3 linked regions of the Kluyveromyces lactis genome follow. The protein of the gene in region 1 interacts with the protein of each later gene in a pairwise test. Links are inferred from orthologs where the notes say so. Each region holds a gene or a part of one and is shown in the gene's direction. Other genes may lie near its edges. The genes, in order: PDR12, YOR1 and SOP4.

Region 1 (2,432 bases):
ATAACCATATGGGTGAATTGTCCGTGAGAGAATCATTGAGATTCGCTGCTGAATTGAGACAACCAAAATCTGTTCCACTACAAGAAAAGTATGATTACGTCGAAAAGATCATCTCTTTGTTGGGTATGGAAAAGTATGCTGAAGCTATCATTGGTAAGACCGGTAGAGGTTTGAATGTCGAACAAAGAAAGAAGTTATCTATTGGTGTTGAATTGGTCGCTAAACCATCATTGCTATTGTTTTTGGATGAACCAACCTCCGGTCTAGATTCTCAATCTGCTTGGTCTATTGTTCAATTCATGAGAGCTTTGGCTGATTCTGGTCAATCTATTTTGTGTACTATCCATCAACCTTCTGCTACCTTATTCGAACAATTCGATAGATTATTATTATTGAAGAAGGGTGGTAAGATGGTGTACTTTGGTGACATCGGTGAAAATTCCGGTACTTTGCTAAACTACTTCGAGCGTCAATCTGGTGTTAAGTGTGGTATCTCTGAAAATCCTGCTGAATATATGTTAAACTGTATCGGTGCTGGTGCAACTGCCTCTGCCTCAGAGGACTGGCATGATCTATGGCTAAAATCTCCTGAGTGTGCAGCTGCCAGAGAAGAAGTCGAAGAATTGCATAGAAAGTTGGCTTCTAGACCTGTTACTGATGACAAGGAATTATCTGGTAAGTATGCTGCTAACTACTTGACTCAATTGAAATGTGTTTTCGGAAGAACTTGGCTTCAATTCTGGAGATCTCCAGTCTACATTAGAGCCAAATTCTTGGAATGTGTCCTGTGTGCTTTGTTCGTTGGTTTGTCTTACGTTGGTGTTAACCACTCGATTGCCGGTGCCAATCAATCGTTTGCATCTATTTTCATGATGTTATTGATTGCCTTAGCTATGGTTAACCAATTGCATGTGTTTGCCTTGGATTCTAGAGAATTGTACGAAGTCAGAGAAGCTGCTTCGAACACTTTCCATTGGTCTGCATTGTTGTTATGTCACTGTACCGTCGAAATCATCTGGTCCACCGCCTGTGAATTTATCTGTTGGATTTGTTACTATTGGCCAGCACAATACACTGGTCGTGCTTCCCATGCTGGTTACTTCTTCTTGATTTACGTTATCATGTTCCCTGCATACTTTATCTCTTACGGTTGTTGGGTGTTCTATATGTCTCCAGATGTGCCATCTGCTTCTATGATCAACTCCAACTTGTTCGCTGCCATGTTGTTATTCTGTGGTATCTTGCAACCAAGAGAAAAGATGCCTGGTTTTTGGAAGAGATTCATGTACAACGTGTCTCCATTCACTTATGTTGTCCAATCGTTAGTCGCACCAATTGTTCAAGGTAAAAAGGTCGTCTGTGGCAGGAATGAATTCGCCGTTATGGATCCACCAGAAGGTCAAACATGTGGTGAATACTTGTCAACTTACATCGAAGATAACACTGGTTACTTGACCAATCCAAATGACACACAAAGCTGTCAGTACTGTCCATACAGCTACCAACAAGAAGTTGTTGCAAGATTTAATGTCAAATGGGTCTATAGGTGGAGAAATTTCGGTTTCCTATGGGCATATATTATCTTCAACTTCTTCGCAATGTTGTTCTGCTACTGGGTTATGAGAGTGAAGAACTACTCCGTTACTAGTATTTTCAAGATCTTCAAGATCGGTACTTGGAAGAATGCTATTAAACCAAAGGACAGACACGAAAAGGACACAACTATTTTCCAAGAAAAACCAGGAGATGCTGAAAATGTCAATAGAACCAAGAATTAATCCTTACCTACCCAGTAACTCCGCTATAGAAAACCTATTTTATTTCTACAATCTTTTTATTCATTTATCGTCTTTATAAATATTTAAGAATCTTTTACACTTTATTCAATATTCATTCTACATAATTGCCTTAAAACCTTAAATGAGCATTTTGAGAAACTACATATCAAAATGTCGTATCATGATTTTTTAAGAAACTTCAAGAAGATACACGCTACTTTGAAATGATGTCCACAGGGTATCTTTCAGGTACTTAAAGAACACTGGGAAGAGTGTTAAAGCCGTAATTAGGGTCTGCTTTTTTTAACAATAAGAAAGTTCTGTCTCCACAATAAATTTGCTTTAGAGCGGAATAACCAGTTGTTGAAACTGCTTGAGCGGTAACATTGCGCCTGCTGCCAGGGTTCAAGGAAGAAAGCTCAAATTATGATAAGGCGATTTTTACGGTTGTACTCTATTAAAAGAAACACGCATTTGATATTAGAGGACCTTCAATCTATAAAATTCAATAAAGATGATCTGAAGGCTATTGATTCTGCATTAAAATTAGTTACTGTGAAACAGACTACCTCCAGCAGCAAGCTAAGCCGCACTAGGGCTAAGCAAGAGTACATTGACAGGAAACTTGAAGTAATACGCAATATTTTTCCAGGT
Region 2 (2,240 bases), on another chromosome or scaffold:
ACATTCTGTTTGTTCTAGGAAGTCTTGCGTTCATGTTTACTCAGTTCATCAGTATCGGTTTACTGGGTACATATGCCTCTAAGCATTTGAACATCAAGGCTCTACAACGTTTATTGCATGCTCCAATGAGCTTCATGGATGTCACTCCAATTGGTAGAGTTATGAACAGGTTCACTAAAGATACGGACACCTTAGACAACGAAATTACAGAGTCAGTCCGTTTATTGATTTTCCAGATCGCAAATCTCACTGGTATTATCATTTTGTGTATCATCTACATTCCTTGGTTTGCCATTGCCATGCCATTCTTAGTTTTCCTATATGTTTTCGTGGCTGATCACTATCAAGCGAGCGGTCGTGAAATCAAACGTATGGATGCTGTTCAGAGATCTTTTGTTTACAATAACTTCAACGAAGTTCTCGGAGGTATGGACACTATTAAAGCATACCGTAGCGAGCAACGATTTTTAATGAAATCCGATTTCTTAATCAACAAAATGAATGAAGCAGGATACTTGGTTACTAGTATTCAGAGATGGGTGGCGATCAGTCTAGACATGTTGGCTGTTATATTTGCTTTGATCATTGCATTACTTTGTGTTACTCGTCAGTTCCATGTCAGTGCAGGTTCGGTTGGTGTTATGGTAACTTACGTCTTGCAGTTGCCAGGTTTGTTGAATGCACTACTTCGTTCTCAAACTCAAACTGAAAATGACTTGAACAGTGCAGAGAGATTAGTAAACTATGCTTATGATTTGCCTATTGAAGCCAAATACAGAATATTAGAAACCCAGCCACCTGAACAGTGGCCATCTGAAGGTCGTATCAAATTTGAAAACGTTTCCTTGGCTTATAGACCTGAATTACCTGTGGCACTAAAAAATGTATCTATAGACATTGGCTCAAACGAAAAGATCGGTATTTGCGGTAGAACTGGTGCAGGTAAGTCTACCATTATGAGTGCGCTCTACCGACTAGTGGAATTAAAGACAGGTAAAATCACCATCGATGACATTGATATCAGCACTCTTGGTTTATATGAGCTTAGAAGCAAACTTGCAATCATTCCTCAAGATCCAGTTCTTTTCAAGGGTGATATTCGTAGAAATTTGGATCCATTCCAAGAGTGTACGGACGAACAACTTTGGGATGCATTGGTACGTGGGGGTGCTATCGACAGAAAAGACGTAGATTCCATCAGAGCGCAGCACAAAGATGCTAATGGACTTTCTGGTGATATGTTCAAATTCCATTTAGATCAGATGGTGGAGGATGATGGTTCCAACTTCTCCTTAGGCGAACGCCAATTATTGGCTTTGACCAGAGCCCTTGTGAGGGGATCAAAGATTTTAATTTTAGATGAGGCGACGTCATCTGTGGACTATGCAACGGATGCCAAAATTCAATCTCGTATTGTGGAAGAATTCTCCAACTGTACTATTTTATGTATTGCCCACCGTTTGAAGACTATCTTGGCTTACAACAGAATTCTTGTTTTAGATCAAGGGCAAGTCGTTGAGTTCGACACTCCTAAAAAATTGTACAATGACCGTGACTCTATATTCAATGAAATGTGTCGCGGTGCTGGTATTGTTCCTGCAGACTTCGAAAACTCAAAGTAATCTCCTGTATATATCATTATTTCTTTTGCATTACATTTTGTTGTTTGGTTTGGTGTGAACAGCATGTTTTCCAAAGACTTGCATTAGCATATATTTTCGGTAAGCAATGACTGCTTTCTATATATTTAATGAGCCTAAAATTTCTATCAGCCACAACGATCATTCATAGTTTAAAATCAATAATAAAACTTTACAAAACCATCAATCTTCTTTACCGTACTCCTAACATTCGAATAGTATTCCCTGTGTCTACGGCATACTATGTATTTTTCTTCTCTTCCGCACTTCCACTTATTCACCGTAGTGCACGTTTGTATAAGTATGGGAAATATTTAAAGGAAGAAATCTAATCAGAATTGAATTTGTCTATATTCTTGTTGCACATATTGAAATATCGCATACGAAAGTGCATGGAGACTTACTCATCACGTCGATACCTATCTAATCGAATGTCATTTGTCAGGTCTACGACTTCCAAATTTAAATTCGGTGCTCATGTCAGCGGTGCTGGTGGTATATCCAACAGCGTTACCAATGCCCATGAAATTGGCTGTAATTCGTTTGCAATGTTCTTGAAGTCGCCAAGACAATGGAATTCTAAACCGTATCCCGAATCAG
Region 3 (2,563 bases), about 180 kb from region 1:
GCTTCCTGCTTTGACTGTAAGGAAAAATACCTGAGATTCTGTGGTGAAACACCTACTCAACTTGGGTACTTCCTCCTTCTTGTCGTTGCATCATCACTAAAATACTGTTTGAGATAGCACTATTGAGATTGAAGAAAGTGTTAACGTTACAATCCATTACAGATAACTAACATCGACACGACTCCGCAAAATCACACACGAATACACTTATCAGAGTAATCCATACTTTTTCCAATGGTTTTTATCCATCCTTTCTTGAAGAACAACTAAAGGGTTTTAAACGGGATACCACCCCTCGCACGTACCGTTAGCCATTCTTGATATGTTTTTCTGGTCTCTGAGGTCTAAGCTTAAACAATAATAAAGTTAATGTTGATATATCCAAGCTTATACATGTAATAAATGATAAATTCATTAAAATCATTGACAATTTGTTACTATGAAAAATTGAAGCTGACCTTTGGATATTGAAACCTACGATCTGGCAAAAATGTGTCTGCCATTCATTTTCCACATTCTATCTTGACAAATTAGGAAATTCTTAACATAAATGAAATTCGAAAAGTAATGAAAGCCATCCCTCTTCAACAATGTCTGGGTGTTTCAGAAATTAGACAGTCCCGAAATTACTGTAGAACTCCACGGTTGTTAGATTGGCGAACCTATGTCAACAAGAGAGAAAGAGAAAACTATACGGCGCAAGTTTCTGTATATATCATCTATTGAACGTTTACTAGATGGATAAGGAGGGAATGAGATGTCGGGCTGTATGCATATGAGTAATTGGTCCTAGACGAACAATGTTGGAAACATCTTTCGCAGTATAGATCACTCCATTAAACATTGACAGCCATTTTCAAACTGAAAGCTTTAATCTCGAACCAGGTTGTAGAGAAGATATTGTCTGGAGAGTCACAAATCCACTACAATAATACCTGTTCTGAGGAATGTACGCTTTCTTATGACCTGATCAAAACGGACGTATCTCAACTTACTGTATAGTATTGTTTATAATAATGCATCTTATTCTCATCTTTTATACTAAATTTTCTTGAACGAACAAAATGAAAAAGTTCAAAAGTCAGATAAATCCGGGTAATAATATTAGTAACTATTCTTTCTTCTGGAAATGAATCTCGAATGGTAACTAAGACGCATAAAGAAGTTAATGATAACGGTAAAAACACTATACTCTGAGACTGAACTAACGTATGGCAATTAGTTTACTCCTCCAAAGAATCGGGGATGAATTTTGTACTTTTTTGCTTTCTAGTTTGGCAGTTCGTAAACCCAGGTGCTGCATTCGATATTAAGGGCAGACTAGATTTGAAAGTTAGGAACGTTTCGAGACATGATATATCGAGAACCTATTTTAACCTGTACAGGATACGGAATCCCAATGATGACTCGGAATGGGATTCATATTCACAGTCATCAAAATTGGAGAATATCAATGGTGAATTCACCTTCAGCGATGTTCCCATTGACACTGGTATCAATAGGACGACATACTTCACATTACATTCGCATTCCAATGAATTCAATTTGAAACCCAACAGAATACTGATACAAATTGTAGGTAACGGGCAAGATCAGGAACCTAACCTCAGCGCCTTTGAGAACAGATTTGGCAGAGAGTATTTCCCATCTCCAGATATTACATATCCCGAAACTTTGAATCCATTACCCTTGGATTCTGCAAACCGTTTAACAATAACAACGATGAACAAACAACCATACAGAAAATATATAAAGATAAGAAATCCTGGAATCCTCGAGAGTGGTCCCATTGCCAGTGTTTTAAGATCAAAATTCAAGCTAGCAGGCGTCGTGACAGTGATATTTTTAGTTTTGTTCCCTATTTTGTTGGAGAAGTTCGATCCTGAGACTGCTAAAGCTATGAGACAAGAGAAGATGCATAGAGAGAACGCAAAATATGTTTCAAAATAGCTTTTTCGTTGAATGGTGTATGTATTACACTTGTATAAGTTACGAATATCTTGCAAATCTTATTCATCTTTTGCACACTTTCCTAGTTTTTGTACTTTATCTATGAAAAAAATAAACAGCTAAGAAATTAGGGAAACAGCTTGAGAAACAAACGAACAAACACTTATCATAGTAAGGGCGAAAAAAACCCAAAATACGTTCACTCACTTATAGATTAGTTGAATTTCTGCTAAGAAAATATTATACTAGGGAATGACGTTTGTAATATAATGATCCAGGAGTACGTTACATTATTAGCTCAGGTGCTTAACTTGGTTCCAGAGGATGATTCTGATCTGATATCTATTTTATGTGATATTTGCAATTCTTACGAAAATACAGCCTCTAAAGATGAGCTATATACATACACAACGTTTGAAATAAGCCAGAGGTTTAATAACATCGAGCCAACGGAATTGAATTTTGTATATGATGACACATCGAAGTGGGAGAAGCTTTTATCTCATCAGTCATCGGAATTGAGCTACATTATCGCTTTGCATATAGTATTATGTCTCATTGAGAATTCAATAGTGAACAAACAAAGTTTTGCAAAACATCCAGCCATGAAATC

What was found.
Region 2: the proteins of PDR12 (region 1) and YOR1 interact in a protein complementation assay, tested with the Saccharomyces cerevisiae proteins (2 studies listed by BioGRID). The link is inferred for Kluyveromyces lactis from reciprocal best matches to the Saccharomyces cerevisiae genes PDR12 and YOR1.
Region 3: the proteins of PDR12 (region 1) and SOP4 interact in a protein complementation assay, tested with the Saccharomyces cerevisiae proteins (2 studies listed by BioGRID). The link is inferred for Kluyveromyces lactis from reciprocal best matches to the Saccharomyces cerevisiae genes PDR12 and SOP4.

What each region holds. Positions count from the first base shown.
Region 1 is NC_006038.1:841,591-844,022, reverse strand, and holds the end of PDR12 (ATP-binding cassette multidrug transporter PDR12), read left to right. Parts: coding exon 1-1,778; downstream 1,779-2,432. Other genes in the region: EXO5 (Exo5p), read left to right, coding at 2,205-2,432. UniProt on the Saccharomyces cerevisiae protein: Plasma membrane transporter which mediates resistance to water-soluble, monocarboxylic acids with chain lengths of from C1 to C7 by active extrusion of the preservative anions from the cytosol.
Region 2 is NC_006039.1:1,237,341-1,239,580, forward strand, and holds the end of YOR1 (ATP-binding cassette transporter YOR1), read left to right. Parts: coding exon 1-1,622; downstream 1,623-2,240. Other genes in the region: DNA-(apurinic or apyrimidinic site) lyase APN1, read left to right, coding at 2,033-2,240. UniProt on the Saccharomyces cerevisiae protein: Functions as a pleiotropic drug pump at the plasma membrane to clear toxic substances from the cytosol. Organic anion transporter involved in the detoxification of a wide range of toxic environmental organic anions that contain carboxyl groups.
Region 3 is NC_006038.1:665,644-668,206, forward strand, and holds SOP4 (Sop4p), read left to right. Parts: upstream 1-1,245; coding exon 1,246-1,950; downstream 1,951-2,563. Other genes in the region: KLLA0_B07623g (40S ribosomal protein uS11), read right to left, coding at 306-315; BPH1 (Bph1p), read left to right, coding at 2,220-2,563. UniProt on the Saccharomyces cerevisiae protein: Involved in the export of PMA1, possibly through the monitoring or assisting of PMA1 folding and acquisition of competence to enter vesicles.